2 linked regions of the Mytilus edulis genome follow. The protein of the gene in region 1 interacts with the protein of each later gene in a pairwise test. Links are inferred from orthologs where the notes say so. Each region holds a gene or a part of one and is shown on either strand. Other genes may lie near its edges.

Evidence for each region.
Region 2: the proteins of cyclin-D1-binding protein 1 homolog (region 1) and pre-mRNA-splicing factor SYF2-like interact in binary tests that used the Homo sapiens proteins (3 or more experiments, as listed by UniProt). The link is inferred for Mytilus edulis from reciprocal best matches to the Homo sapiens genes CCNDBP1 and SYF2.

Annotation. Positions count from the first base shown.
Region 1 is NC_092348.1:92,450,294-92,458,700, forward strand, and holds the start of cyclin-D1-binding protein 1 homolog, read left to right. Parts: upstream 1-5,075; 5' UTR 5,076-5,127; coding exon 5,128-5,203; intron 5,204-7,693; coding exon 7,694-7,756; intron 7,757-8,407. Other genes in the region: programmed cell death protein 5-like, read right to left, coding at 1,714-1,770. UniProt on the Homo sapiens protein: May negatively regulate cell cycle progression. May act at least in part via inhibition of the cyclin-D1/CDK4 complex, thereby preventing phosphorylation of RB1 and blocking E2F-dependent transcription.
Region 2 is NC_092353.1:23,095,865-23,104,923, forward strand, and holds the start of pre-mRNA-splicing factor SYF2-like, read left to right. Parts: upstream 1-5,667; 5' UTR 5,668-5,698; coding exon 5,699-5,702; exon of another isoform or gene 5,703-5,889; coding exon of another isoform or gene 5,890-5,893; intron 5,894-9,059. Other genes in the region: coiled-coil domain-containing protein 81-like, read right to left, coding at 2,559-2,715, 4,028-4,089, 5,266-5,341. UniProt on the Homo sapiens protein: Involved in pre-mRNA splicing as component of the spliceosome.

The sequences.
Region 1 (8,407 bases):
ACAATTTCTCTTCAGTTTGTTCCAGGGGTCATTCCTGATCAACAAAAGTTGGATTCTATTTTTTTTAAACAAGGAATCACAGCAGAAATAAACTTGCAATGATTATTTCACTGCATAATCATTATCCATATAAAAGGTCTAAATCGATATTTGGAATCATTTCTTTCAAGTTGGAAATGTGTAAAATCCTTTTTGGAACTATAATAATGACTGAAAGTAGGTTGTAAACAAATCAACAATAGATCACGTTTACTACTTTCGGTTTTAAAATGAAACAAAAACGGGAAGTGACACGTGGATAATAAATTCAAAACGAGTCCGGATTCATCAGGAAATTATCATTTTTTTATTTAAATTCCTTTAGTAAGAGATATTTGTCTCTCTCGTTTAATTGATTCTAAATTAAATGATTTCGTATTTTACGTTTTTTTAAAGTCTATAAATAGTCAAAGGAATACTTTCACGCATGCGTAAGAATACAATACAGGAAGCACCTGTTTAACTCGTGAAAGTTTTGAATAAACACATTAAAGTTCTTTATTTTAAATGGAAATTGTCGAAAGTTTTTTGATGAAAATTTAAATCCATTATGACGAAAATGCCTTCGAATGACGAATCTACGACAAATGAACTTCAGATCGTTGGAAAAATATTAAAATTCAAATGCGAACTGACCGGGTTGTTACATTTTTGATTAATTGACGAAACTAAACTCCTGATTGTTGAAATGACTTGCCGACTGGCTGATTTTCCTGGGGAAATAATTATGATGGTCATTCAATTATGGGGTTTAATAATAATTAACGGATTAGTGACCCATCCGATGGCGATAAGCGGATTAGTTGTAATCACAACTTGTAACACCTGTTAAAAATGTTAATTACCTGGAGGTCATAAACTTGTCAAAAACATGAAGACAGGTAGATTTATAGTTTTTATTGCGAATTTTATTTTACACTTTCAAAATTAAAGTGACGAAATTGATTTGAAATACTTTCGTCAATGAGAAAACCCTTTCGTAAAATACGAAAGTGACGAGCGCTAGCAAAATCACTGCTGAAAGACAAACAAATGGCCAATACAAAGGTAAAATTTAATGAGAAGCTGTCCTGCTTGAACAATTGGCGTCATACAACAATCACTTTTTCATTGTGGCGTCAGACATCTTGTATTACCATGACATCAAAAGCTTACGGAAACCTGTGTAATGTCCAGTAATAACGGACAAATAGCGATAAGTTGTATATCTTGTGCTTTTTTTTTTACTATTTGCAAACAATAATAAAAGGACCTACATGTAAGAGCTACGGTCCTGCAGCTAGTGAAGTAGTGTACCGAAATAACTATCTACATAATGAAGGGTGCAGAAATTTTTAACTTGCTCGTGAAGTAGTGTAGAGAAATAACTGTCTAGGGTCACAGGCACTTGTTTCTATCCATTGGAAGACCCACTATCAACGTATATTTAAATATACGTTGATAGTGGGTCTTCCAATGGATAGAAACAAGTGCCTGTGTCTAGGGTGCTGAATTAACTATGTCCGATTTGACAAGCAGCCGAATCGACTATACCGGGTACGATTTGATCAGAGTCCGATTTAACCAGGTGCCGAAGTGACTAGAAAAATTAAATTACATATCATACGACATAAGCCATAACACATGTTTGTCAGAATCATAAATTCATAGTTCATTCATTGTGCCTTCAATTACCCCTTGAAGTTCTGCCATTCTTCTGGCCCTTATGGCATCCAATTCATCATCAGCCATTTCGTAATGTTCTTTAAACTAATTTATAAGATCTTATAAGGTGAGAAAAATGTGTTTGATTCAGAATCTGAGATGACAACGGAATTTTTATTCTCTAGATTGTGGGTTACACTAATGACTGGACCGAATGACAGGACCGAATGACAGGACCAAATGAAAAATGCTAATAACTTTTTCATTTCTCAAAGGATTGATCTCAAATTTGAAATATAATAAGATTTCATCATTTGATAAATAGATTTAAGAAAAAAATTAAAAAGTTTTGTAAGAAACTTTAGAAAATGTGACATGACCAACTTTGATAATGACAGGACCAACATCGAGAATGACAGGACCAAATAAAAATGCTAATAACTTTTTTGTTTTTCAAAGGAATTATTTCAGATTTGAAATATAAAATGGTATGTCATATTTTGAAACCAAAATGTTGTAAAAAATATAGATTTATTTTCAAAAACTTTCGAAAACGTGACATGACCATCGCTGATTGACAGGACCAACCTCGGCAATGACTGGACCAGATAAAATTGCTAATTTCTCTTTTATTTCTCAAAATATTTTTCTGAAATTTGATATATAATAAGATTTCATCATTTGATAAATAGATTTAAGAAAAAAAAAATTAAAAAAATTGTAAGAAACTTTAGAAAACGTGACATGACCAACTCTGATAATGACATGACCAACATCGACAATGACAGGACCAAAGTAAAATGCTAATAACTTTTTTTATTTTTCAAAGGAATTCTCACAGATTTGAAATATAAAATAATATGTCATATTTTGAAAAATAAATGTTATAAAAAATATAGAAAGTTTAAACGTGACATAACCATCGCTGACTGACAGGACCAACCTCGACAATGACAGGACCAGATGAAATTGCTAATTACTTTTTATTTCTAAAAAATATTTTTCTGAAATTTGAGATATAGTCAGATTTAACCATTTTAGACATAAAAATAGGAATGATATAGGAAAAAAAAATACTAAAAGCTTGCTGTAATGTGACCTGACCAACACTAACAATGACAGGACAAACCTTGACAAGGACAGGACCAAATAAAAATGCTATTCACTTTTTAATTTTGAAAAGGAATTATGTCAGATTTAAAATAAAATGTGATCTCATCTTTTAAAATATCAATTAAAGAAAAAAAAATCTAGATTTTTTTTTATTTTATTGCGAAAACGTGAAATGACCATAGTCCCTACTATAGAAATCCTGGTTGAAATTAATAATAATAATTAAAACACACACATTAAGATTGAATGATTTATAAGCTTTTAGAAAATAAGGGAAAAGGCTAACTTTATTTATCTTTGGTGTAAATATTTATCATATTAATTGATATTTCACACATGCTATATCTTAACTCTTTAACTATGTATTTGGGTTGAGAATAAAGATCATTCATTCATTCATTCATTCAGATTATTTTGTATATTAATTACCGGACATAATCTGACACGTCTGAAAACAATTATAAGGTAACAAACAAAAGGTGTGACATAAGCCATAAATAAGTTGATAAATCCAATAAAGATTGTGATGACAGTAATTAAAATCACATAATAGTTCAAGTCGTTGTTTTAATCAATATTTTCAGAACATTAAATAATTATTTCCATGTATGCTTGAGTATATGCAGGGTATATCTTGATAGTTTCCCCCTCATAATAAATAAACAAATAAACATTTCTTGAAGTATGCCCGACCCTTGCATGCATGATTTCTTGGTAGTTTCAAATATTTTCATAAAATATACTGAATCAAACATTTTCACGGACTACTTTAAAAGGTTTGATACCTTTTCAAAGTGGCTTAAATTGGGCTTCATGATGTCAAGAAATATTATGATGACAATTCAATAAATCTGAATTTATCTAATGAACAATCTCTTAAACTATAAAATGATTATATGTAATTATATATAAATATTTCAAGATCTCTTTCTTAAATATAGTGATCATTCGTGTCTTTTTGTCCTGTGACTCTGCATGTCCTGTGACTCTCTGCCAACATACGTTTAGCATGTTTAGTAGCTAGGTCAAGAATTTTAACCACCATAGAATATATTTTCCTGAATTTATAAGATATATCATACTAATTATGGATCAGAATTGAACAATTTCAGTAAAATCATTGGCCAGATCATAGCCGATGTTGGTCAGGTCACACAACCGCAAGCTTTCAATACGTTTTTTTTTTCTATATTTTTCTTATATGATGTGCAAAATGGTCTTAATTGTCATTATTTCAAATTTGAGAGGAATATTCTGACAAATGTTATGCATAATTAGCATTTTTATTTGGTCCTGTCATTAATTGTCGAGGATTGTCCTGTTATTGACAACGTTAACCAGGTCACATTTCAGCAAGCTTTTTATACTTTTTCTTATATTTATGTATAAAATGGTATAATCTTCACATATTTTAATTTTCAGAGAAATACTCTGCGAAATAAAAGAATAATTAGCAATTTCATTTGTTCAGGTCTTTGTCGAGGTTGGTCATGTCAGTCAGCGATGGGATCATGTCACGATTTTGAAAGTTTTTGAAAATAAATTATTATTTTTTATAACATAAATGTTTCAAAATGTGACATATCATTTTATGTTTCAAATCTGAGATAATTCCTTTGAAAAATAAAAAAGTTATTAGCATTTTTATTTGGTCCTGTTATTGTCGAAGTTGGTCCTGTCATTATCAGAGTTGGTCATGTCACGTTTTCTAAAGTTTCTTATATATTTTTTGTGTATTTTTTTTTAAATTTATTTGATAAATGATGAAATCTTATTATATTTAAAATTTTAGAAAAATATTTTGAGAAATAAAAGAGAAATTAGCAATTTCATCTGGTCCGGTCATTGTCGATGTTGGTCCTGTCAATCAGCGATGGTCATGTCACGTTTTCGAAAGTTTTTGAAAATAAATCTATATTTTTTACAACATTTTGGTTTCAAAATATGACATACCATTTTATATTTCAAATCTGAAATAATTCCTTTGAAAAACAAAAAAGTTATTAGCATTTTTATTTGGTCCTGTCATTCTCGATGTTGGTCCTGTCATTATCAAAGTTGGTCATGTCACATTTTCTAAAGTTTCTTACAAAACTTTTTAATTTTTTTCTTAAATCTATTTATCAAATGATGAAATCTTATTATATTTCAAATTTGAGATCAATCCTTTGAGAAATGAAAAAGTTATTAGCATTTTTCATTTGGTCCTGTCATTCGGTCCTGTCATTCGGTCCAGTCATTAGTGTAACCCCTAGATTGTTCGTGAAGAACACAGATTCACCCCGAAAATCCGAAAATATTGTGTAAATAATTTCTAAACCAAACACGGAAATGGCAGAAAATTTTTATGTTGAACTACTCCACAATTTAACAGCAAATTTAGCAATAGCAATAGATCAAGTGAAAGGTAACATGACCACTCACCAGTAGATAGATACCAGATAAAAGGAAAAACAAAATAAGGACAATTGTCAAGCACACTTGACACTTTTTCAGTTTTTAATTTTTATGATGACCATGTGTGTTCACAGGAGTTTGAAATCCTATCAATAAGGGGGTAAAAATATACCAAAGTCGACTATCACAGTAGAGCTTATCTCGTAGATCAATCTTCTGAAATCTCTTTGGGTTGTCTGTTCACGACAAGAAGCCCGGTGGTTCTCTCCGAGTACTTCGGCTTCCTCCATCATAATAACAGACTTCCCGGTGTCCTACTCGCTCCCTTGGGCGGTGTTGGTTGGGGATTGTTCTGGTGGTGGGATAATATTGGAAAAGGACACATTTCCATTAATCTTTAGGGAGTGTACATATATCCCCTGTACCCTTGCAGTCAATCAAGGGGTGTGTCTAAACAGGCGGAATCTTGAAGTACATACATACATACATGTAGTCCGAGATAACTCCAACTGCCAGACAAGCTGGGGCCGGGGTCCCACGGCCCCAGCTTGTCTGGCAAAACAGCCGTTGGACGTCAGAGTAATCTCGGACTAACATACATGCTGGTGTCTGTTGTGAAAATTTTATATGTAGCTCTGTATATTGTGATATATGTATATTTATGACTGGGAAAATGCACAACAAGAAAGCACACACAAACATAGACTTGTTTAAAAAAGGCACCGTTTAAATATGATTATGATGCATTAACATTCAATAATTTAATGCTTAGTCTATCTCTCCCATCTTCCCGGGCCAAGGGTTAAGATCCACTTATCAGAGAGGAGGGAAGTGGATCGTAACCCTTGGCTAGCGAAGATGAATTCTCCACCCTCTGCCATAATGAAATCTCATCATCTTAAAGGCTTTAATCTGTAAAGAAGACAATTTTTTTTAACTTTGTATGAAGACTACACTGTCACTGTATACAACTCTTCAATTAGGGTAGAAATGCCCTTTACCATGTTTACCGTCAGGCGTCAAATGGTCAGCATCAAATTGGTTAGGCACTAGCTAAGAGATATAAAAAGATCTAAAATTTAATTTTATTTGTTCAATCATTAATGAAAGTGAAATTGTGAAATAATAATTTCACTTTTAGCAGCCAAAATGGTTCAATTTTATCAAATTAAGCTATTAAAGAAACATTGATAATGAATCATTCACTTGCAAGTATATAATTTTAACCTAAAATATAAAATCAAACAGACCTATAAATATTCAATTGCACAAGTTCCCTTTTCTATTTATATCTATAATTATGTTTATGTTCCAGACCATATGAGTATTTGGACCGTACACATACTTTTTCAAAATACTCATACAGTCGGACCGTACGTGTATTTATTTAAGATGTCATGTTTATTAGATAGAATTGTATATTACTAATCAACAAAAAGAAATCTGTAATTAATCTTAAAAGTTTAAATGTTAATGAATTCAAAACTTAATAATTTAACTATTTAAAAAGGTCACGTTAATTCAATCTGTTCATCTGTTTAGCTCTTGTATTTATCATGTCAGTAACACATGATATTTAATTTTGCTCACTGAAATTGAAGTTATATATATATATGAGTGTTGAAAGAAAAGATTTAACAATATTTAGGAACTTTACTTCAAAAAACTGTCAAAGATACTAGACAAAATCTATAAAAAAAAATCTGTTTGAAAATATAATTAAAACCTGTCGAAAATTAATGCAAAGAATGAATACAGTAGCTTTGTTACTCTAATAATACCAGTTGTTAATAGTATTTTTCCAGATTAGTGTGTAGGGTTGATGACATATTTCATGTTATTCATCTAATTGCAAGAAAACAAATTTGTAATTTCGATAAAAGATTTTGATAAATGTTTATCTTAAATTAACCCATATTGTTCAAATACATATATTGTCTAGTTCATCCTATATATACCGTATAAGTATACCCATATGGTTCGACTGTACACGTATGGTCTGACAGTACGAGTATACCCATATGGTCCGGACTGTATGCGTAGAGTACAAATACTCACATGGTCTGGAACATTTATATTGCTTTTATGGTCATCGGAGGTCAACTCAATAGTTAATTAGATGGCCTCTAGATTAAAATACACATGAAATGAAGCTACATATCATTTAGCCTGTGCCCTGTAAATTGTTTATTTTAGACTTTTGATAGTTTGGAATAAATGTTTTACATTGTTATGAATAAAATATGAGAATTTGTGTCAAAACAGTTAACATGAATTTGACAGCTAGTGCCCCTTTAAAATTTAAATGTGATTTGTCTAAATATCCTTATCATGATTAGTCAGAGGTCTCAAATAATTGTCATTATCATTATTTTTGGACAAAATTTAACGTGATTCGCCAAATCATTAAATCTTAAAAGACTTTTAATCATCATAAAAAAAGAGTACATATTATCATCGTGAACCAAAACTTACTGTACATGTCATTTATATTTTACAGGAGGAGAAACTAAAGAAACTGATGGTATTGAGTTTAATGCAGAAGATTTCTGGAACAGATTAGGTGAGTTATTGCACAGTTGAGAACATGTCCTGGGAGAGGTCTGGTATACAGGACATATTTAAAATCTTGATATATTAAACAGAGAAATCAAAAAATTGCTACTTAATTTTATGAAAATGACTAGTTTAAACTCGAAGAAAAATCAAATACTTAAAGCAAGTTCTATTGAAGTAATTGTTGATGGCCATATTTATAGTACAGATACCTTTAGTTGCTTTTATTCATGTCATTTTGACTTTGTTTAATAGATGTCTGATTGGCAATCATACCATGTCTTATTTTATGTAATACATTTAATAAGATGAAGGTTATAAAATCACCTCACTTTGAGAAGGTATGGCTTAAATTATAAACTCATTGTGGAGTCAAGACAAGAACAATAACATTCAGAATTTTTTTTTTGTCTATATAAATCTGTACAGTTTTGATGGAAAATATTAGTTGTGAGTTAATTTTTTGTGGCCAAATTTACGCCTCTTTGCTGTTTCTCTTTTGTCTGTCTTGAGTCCATAATACACTAGTCTCATGCTTAAATACCACGAGTTCTATTCAATAAAAGAACAGAGTTCCAATGTTCCTCACTTTGCACATGTATATTTTATCTACCCAAGGTACAAAGGCAATAACTAAATAAAACATCTTTTTTGTGTA
Region 2 (9,059 bases), on another chromosome or scaffold:
AAAATTTTATTAAAATTAATTTCATATATGACAAAAATTGAAAGCATTTTTTTTCTGTAGCAAATAAACAGAGCAAGGCTTATTTGACCTTTTTATTATTGATTTTCTTTGTATTAGACTACAAACTTTTATTCAGGTAATAGAAGGTTATACTGTTATAGTAAGTTTACCCCTTGCTTACAAATTATTCTTTATTCATTTAAAAATCTAAAATAAATATTTTCCTCTGGATGTTAAGCAAACAAAAATCACTCCATCATTTAATAATTATCATTACTTAATTATATAGTGAATGAAACGGTTATATATATTGTCTAAATCATTGGCATCATTCTATTTGAATCTTATTTATATCAAAATTATTATTTTATAGATAAACTGTAGGTGAAAGTTTCATTTCTGATCAGAACTAGCTGTTTGAAATATATTAAAGAAACACAGATATTTATGTGCATGATAAGGGTACTTTAACTACTTATAGTGTCCTGAAACTTCATAAACCTAAATCAAAATTAATTACCTTAAACCAAAATAAATGGTAAAACGAATTTCATAATCACATTTATTGCTAAAAAGGCACAATGTATAATTACTTTATGTAAATAAAACTGTTCTAGAAATATTTACATTGTTATCAGTAAAAATTAAATCAGAAGATTAACCATTTACTTTTTCCAAATAAACTGTATAAGGTGAATTTTCGAATCAAGCTAACACATGAAATTTAATTCAAACTAAATCAAATCTTTTAGTTAAAGTTAGTTATTACTTTTCCCCCAGATAAATAAACAGACTAATAAGAAGGTAGTAATGGGAGTACCTTATTATGAACAGGTAAAAGTTCTTGCCAAATGACATTAAGGGAAGTTTTTGATATGGGACGATATAATGTACATTTTCTTTTCGACAGTAACATTAATAAAACCTCTGAGAAATCACAATAAGGATATTTTGACAACTCAAAAATAAAATTTTAACAAATTTGACGCTAACGGTAGCCTTAAATGACAGTTTAATGCCTGACGGTAAAGGACATTTAATCTAATAACAGCTACAAGCACACCCCTTATCACTGTTAAGAATCTACAACATCCTAGTGATGGTACACAAATGTGAAATAATAACTGAATTTAAAACATCCGTGGTATTCTTACTAAGCTTCAGATTAAAAAGTTAAGAATTGGTATAAATTTGTAAATGCTTGATTTGAATATTGATAAATATAATGTCTACCAATGTTAGGTTAGCAAAGAACATGCTATATGAAAGAATTGTTTCTAATCATCAACTGTTGACCTTCTCTAAATAATAATGTACAGATTGTTAAACTAACTTACATTTTATCCTAGGGCTCTTGGTCATAAAATTTAACTTGGTACTCAAAGTACAAAATTTTGCTCGAAACACAAGGACCAGAATTTTTATTGGTTGAATTTTGAGTTTGAATATCAGATAAGCATTTTTTTTTATGACTGGCTTGTCTGAACTATTTTCATGTCTTCTTACTGTTGATACATGCATACATATAGTATTACATGATATAAGGTACAATTTACCAGGCATCAACAACAATAGTAAGTGATTGCTTCATCAAAAGTACATTAATAGATTTTTACAAAAACATCTCCAAATTACTGACAATGATATTGACATTGAGAGCAAAATATGAACCAGCTCAACATAATATTTAAAATCTGACACATAATCTATTCTAACGTTTTTCAGTTTGTGTCCTTTACTATCAATTTTCATTTGTCTCCCACAGCTTGTCTTGTCCTATTTTCTGCTGTTTCGTCAGGCTATTGTATCTTTAACACATTTAATGTTTACATTCTATTTTCATTATATATTGTATTTCTAGATTAATATTTGTAACAAAAAAATTGTTTCTATGCATTGATTATTGTTTCCTAGGCAGTTGGAGTGAAATTCCCCTTTACTGGCTTTAGAAAAATCATTTCATACAATGTAGTAAACAGGGTCTCTCACTCACAAACTTTACATAAAAGTCCTTCCGACTTTATTTTCTATTCAGTTTGTGAGTTAATCGCCCCTGTTTACACATCAATAACCTCTAAAAAAAATGTGTTTAATCCTAAATGTATACTGTCTAAAATTTTCCCCAATCAGTTAAAATGTCATACACCCACATATCATTATAAATGTCTTGGTATGAAAGGTTTACTGCTGTTTGGTTGATTTCAGTAAATAAAAGAGTGGCACACTTACAAAATATATGTATGTTGACAAGGTATACATGTACAATAAATTAATATCTCAACCTCTTTACAAGCAGAGATCATTAGAGGGTACTCTTGAAAAGAAGGGTCTGGTCTAATAAAGTCCTTTTGTTTTGAATGGGAAGTACTTCAAAGTATATTAACAGTTGTATTTAAAACACTTGATATACAAATTGCAAACAAAATGTTTACATTTTCTCTTCGTGTTCAAAAGTTATCTTTATTTGAAGTGTTGTTGATGGGCAGGTTTGTATTTATCTAAACTAACTAAAGAATTGTATAATATTTTACAAATTAATTTATAAAAGCCTTTCTTACCTGGGACATGATATTTTGTACTCTGTAGATTGTGAGTTTGAGCAAATCTTTCTGATAGCATGAAAATAGGTCGCTGCATCATTATAAACTTGTTATTGCCTATATCCAGTTTTTTTTGGGAAAATGTAAAAGTTCCAAGGGCTGCTATATTCACACCCTGAAAAGCAGATAAAATATAAATTTAAAACAATTTATATTCCAACAACAGAACACTTTGTATAAAAATAATAATAATCTAATCTACAAATATTGAATGAAAGATCCATGTTGAAAAATAATCAAAAATTGTATAATTGATCATGGTGTCATTGGTGATGAAATTAAAACACATCCAACACTTGAAACCTGATACTAAATTTCAGGAAGATCTGCAATTCCGACAAAAATGCTAAGAAAATTCAATGGGAAAAATTAAAAACAGATGGAAGGACTAAAAGACGGGTAAAGATAGACTTTATAATTTGTATCATTTACACTCACTACATGTCATAAATACATCAATACTGTACATTGTAAGTGTTAAAGATACTCAGAATAAACAAATTTTAGGATGTTGGGTTTTATTTAATTATGGCAAACAAGATTTGTATTCTATAAAAAAGTAATTTACATAAATCATATTTTAATTAAAATTTTGTTACAATCACAAACAGGTTATATACATGTAACATATATATATATATATATATATGTAACATAAATAGATTGAATGTTGATTGTTGCTATTTTTAGACATTATATATATGTATCTACATTACATATAGTAACATATATATATGTAATGTAGATAAAAATAAATAAATGAGATGTAAGTTCAGTGAGCATGAGACAACAGACAATACATTACCATCACTAAGTTAAATGAATTGATGTACAGTAACTACAGTCATAAGAAATAAAAGAGAAAATCTCAGCTTCAATTTCTGAAGAGGTACAACTTCAGCCAAAAGCAATGTCACAAGTGGCAAGAGGCGATTTTTCTGGCTTCAACTTTTTTGGAGCCTGAAAAGCCTATTACTTTACAATTTAACAAAGTTTTCGTTTTTTATGCCATTACTTGGGAGTAAAACACAATATAATAAAAGCTGTTAAAATCTGGATTATTTTCATTACTTATCATGCTTATAAAAACCATTATTGCAATTGTAACTTAATTTGTAATAGGAAGAATTTGGTAGGAACTACATGTAAAAGTAGGTACAATGTAGTTAGGAGAGCAACCATCATGAGAGATCAAAATTGCATGAAGAAGTCAATTGCCTCCAAATAAATACTTCTAATGGTCAATGTTCATGGGGAACACTCTTTAAATTAAACAAAAGTTGCAACTTTTGAAGAATCATGTTTGTGTGTTTGCAAACGAAATTATGTTCATTACAACCCTAATAATCCAACACCTTATCCCTGCTATTAATGGGTTGTCCAAACAGAAACTAAAAATTCAGTGAAAATCTACTTGTAATACAAACCTTTTGTTGGTTCATCTGACTTTCAATGAATCTAGATACATTTTCCCACACATTTGTTAAATCTGAAATACAGAAAAAGTAAATATTAATAGAGAAATCCCCATATTCATCCAATTTAAGAGTGCATAAACATGATAAATTGTGTTCCATGTTTTAAAGTTGCCAAAATGCTCTGTTAGTACATAATACATGTACATTGAACAACAAATTTATTAATTTTAAAACCATTTTGTCCCAGGTTAGAGTTTTATTTTTATCACTGTTCGGTGTGAGCCAAAGCTGTACTCTGACCTATAATTGTTTATTCTTAATAACAATGATAAATTGTCACTTGGAAGGAGAGATTGTCCATTGGCACTCATACTACATCTTCTTATTTACATAAATATAATAACAATAACAATAGGATGTAGGACAGGACCTGCATGTATATAACTATGAATACATACATGTACATGGTACATGTATGAGGCCCCTCATGGGGGGGTCCTAGTAATCACATAATCACCATTTTTTTGCCAATATAATCACATAATCATTAAATATTTGCTTATCTTTAGTAATCAAATAATCATAAACTAAAAATACAGTCCTAGGTAATCAAATAATCATGAAATATTTGGCTTAATAATCAAATAATCATTAAAAAAACGGCCAAGTAATCACATAATCAAAAACCCCATGAGGGCCCTCATGTATAATTATAGTTATATTTCAATTTACATAAAAAACAAAATAATAAACAAATAAATGAAATATGATGAAAAGCAACAAATAGCGCTGAATGAGTCACCGACACTGTCATCCTGGGTACTACATGTATATTATACTCTAAGAAAGTACACATACAAGTTGAAATAAAAGTTCTGTTTATCAGGTTAACTCTCAAAAACTAAACGGGTACTCAAACTAGATATCAAATTCTGAATACTTTTCTTCCTTGCTAGTTAGCTACCCTGGGTATTTTTACACACATAAAAAATATGTAGGGGAACAATTTGATCAAGCAGAAGTACACATAGAACTTTCTTTATGTCCCAATGGATAAAATGAGCTGTTCAGAGTTTGTCTCTATCCACTTTCATGATTATGTTTTGTGTTTGCCCCTTTACTTTTGTGTGACTTATTCTGTTATGTTTGCCTATGTAAGTAAATGACAATCCTTGGTGTTCAACTAAAGTTCGAGACTGGTATTGTTGTTTGTATAGTTTGGGTTTTATCAATATCATTCAACTTACCGTCATCTGATAGAGCGTTTATGCTTGAAAAGCGATTTTTCTTTGCATCAGCAAAGATTCCTTGCATTTCTGCCATTACTGCAATAATTTTGTTTTCAAGCGATATCAGGCTTTCATTATTTTATCTGTTTAAATGCATATTGAGTTCACATTCTACAGTGTACATTAGTGTCCATAGTATAAACGTTGCCAAGGAAAAGATATTTTGATTGGCTATCACCAAACATCACAGGCAGAGCTACTAAAAAATCCGGATAAATTTGTTTCGAAGAAATTTAGAAATAGATCATAAATATGTATTATTACCAATAATTTATCTTAAAATTAGTAAGAGAAATTGAAAACTTTAAATAAAATGAAAAACAAATATTTTATGTAATGCGAAAATATTGCTTCACCATAGTCATTAAAACGTTTAAGACAAGGTGAATTCATGAGTAAGTTATGTAATGAATAAATACCCTGAAGACTCGCAATACGTCATTTTCGTAAACAACTTTGTTTTTATTTGTCGAAGGTAAATGGATAGACTAGGGTTAAGATAGTGTCATTGAAAGCTTTAATCACCTAAAAACTACCCTTCTATTCTCTTGGGGTGCCATAAAGATTATTTAATCTGACCGGATGGGTATGATAAATGACAGTTACATGTTATTTGACTGGTCCACGTACTCCTAAATATCCTTGTCAAATATGCTCCAAAGCGGTAACATGGAAACAGAGAGGGGTGGCATGTGATGATTGCAGTAAATGGTACCACGCAGACTGCATGTTAATATCTACACCTGTATATAACGCACTGGCCAATTCCAACATTTCATGGCACTGTGTAAATTGTGGAATGCCGAATTTTTCGTCATCATTATTTGAGTCCTTCATCATCGATTCAACTTATAACTCGTTCCAATCTTTATCCAGTGAAACATCAATATCAAGCCCAGGACCACCCACATACTCATCGTCACCTAAGCCGAAAAGCAAAAAAGACCAGCAGAAACAAAACAAGAAAGGTAAAAACACAAAAATCGTAGTTGTGAACTTTCAAAGTATTAAAAATAAAAAAGAAGAATTACTGAACATGATAGACACTTCCAATCCCGAAATTATATTAGGGACTGAAACATGGTTAAGACCAGACATATTAAGCTCTGAGATATTTCCACCACAATACTCAGTTTATAGAAAAGATCGTTCTGATGGATACGGAGGTGTATTGATAGCTGTAAGAGATATCATCATCAGCGAAGAACTACCCGTACAAAGTGACACAGAATCATTATATATTAGAGTAACAACACCTGACAGTAAATCCATCATAGTAGGATGTCTCTATAGACCACCCAGTAGCGATATCACCTACATGGAAAAAATGTGCAACACCACAGAAGAAATATATAAAGAGAATAAATCGTCTATATTATGGCTAGGAGGAGACATAAACCTTCCTGATATTGACTGGAAATCCAATTCAGTATGCGGCAACCAATATTCTACACAACTCAATAATAGGTTCGTAGATATGGTTAATAACTGCTGCCTAGACCAAGTGGTAACATTTCCCACTAGAGGATCCGCAACACTCGATATTTTCCTCACAAACAGACCATCCTTGGTAAATAGATGCGAGCCAATTCCTGGAATAGGCGACCACGACATCGTCTTCATTGATAGTAATGCCATCGCAATGCATCCAAAACCAACACAAAGAAAAATTTACATCTGGAAGAGAGCAGACATAGAAAAAATGAAATCAGATGCACAGGAACTATCTGAAAAATTTCATGGCTTGTATAACGCTCAGAGCTCAATATCAGAGATGTGGGAGTTCATAAAAACAGGACTCAAGAACATTCAAGACAAAAACGTACCATCAAAAATGTCATCAACAAGATTCCATCAACCTTGGATAAATGGCACAATAAAACGTATTACACGACGGAAAAAGAAAGCTTTTAAAAAAGCCCAAACAACAAAAACAACAAAAGACATCAAGAGATACAAAACTATCAAAAAGAGCTCACAGAAAGAATGTAAGAAAGCCTATTCAACATATATCCACGACATTATAAGCCCAGAGCAGAAATCCAACCCAAAGAAGTTCTGGAGCTTCATAAAGAATAAAAGATGCGAAAATGGAGGAGTAGCACCACTTAGAAACACAGATGGGCTCACATACTCAGACAACAAGATGAAGGCAAACATACTTAACAACCAGTTTTCCTCAGTATTCAACAGCAATGAAGACAAATCTACCATAAAGAAAATGAAAACAAAGCCGTACCCAGAGATGAAAAACATCACTATCTCGGAAAACGGAATACACAAATTACTTTCAAACCTCAACATACACAAAGCATCTGGGCCAGATGAAATTTCTACAAGATTATTGAAATCAATAGCGCCTGATATATCATCAATACTTACCACCTTTTTCCAAGCCTCTGTTGATCAAGGCACATTACCATCTGACTGGAAAAATGCAAACGTTGTCCCAATATTCAAGAAAGGGGATCGTAGCCAGGCATCAAACTACCGACCTGTATCATTAACTGCAATTCTATGCAAATTATTGGAGCATATCATCTGTACCAATATCATAAAACACCTTGAATGTCACTCCATCTTGACCGATGCTCAACACGGCTTTAGAAAAGAACGGTCTTGTGAATCTCAACTAATTCTCACAATTCAAGACCTAGCAAAGAACATCGACATTAAAGAGCAAATAGATCTCATCCTCTTAGACTTTTCAAAGGCATTTGACAAAGTCCCACATGAGCGACTACTGTACAAGATCGACCACTATGGCATAAGAGGGACAACAATAGACTGGTTGAGAAATTTTCTGGACGACAGACAGCAATGTGTACTCCTGGAAGGAGAATCTTCAGAAACCTCACCAGTGCAGTCTGGAGTTCCACAAGGTAGTGTGCTTGGCCCTCTGATGTTTCTCATTTTCATAAATGACCTTCCAGAGTATGTGTCAGCATCAAGCGTTAGACTTTTCGCAGACGACTGTGTCCTCTACCGCCAAATAAGAAACCAAGAAGATGCGAACACCCTTCAGAACGACCTAAATGGACTACAACAATGGGAGGCAGACTGGCAGATGGAATTCCACCCCCAAAAATGCCAACTCCTAAGAGTAACAACAAAACGGAACACGATTAAGGCGAACTACACCATACATGGCCATGTCCTAGAAGAGGTTGACTCGGCGAAATATCTTGGCCTCTCTATACACAAAACATTGAGTTGGAACAAACATATAGACAACATCGCAAAGAAAGCTAACTCGACCAGAGCTTTTCTTCAAAGAAACATCAAAAACTGTCCTAGTGAAACAAAAGCCTTATGCTATCAAACGCTTGTAAGACCACTCATGGAATACTCTAGCACCATCTGGGATCCAGCTACTAAGGACAATATAAACAAATTAGAAGCCATACAACGACGATGCGCACGATTTGTACTGAATGATTATAGAAGAACAAGCAGTGTAACATCAATGCTACAAACTTTAAATTGGGATACGTTACAGGAAAGAAGAGCTAAATGTAAAGCCATCATGTTTTATAGGGTAGTGCACAAACTCATTGCTATACCATCTATAAACTTACAGCCAGTAACAACAACAGTACGAGGGCACAAAGAACGATTCCTTGTTCCTTTTGCCAGGACTCAAGTATATCGATACTCGTTTTTCCCAGACACCATCAGAATCTGGAATGGACTGCCACAACAACTAGTAAGCTGCACAACCCTTGATTCATTCAAAAGGGGCGTGCAAGTGG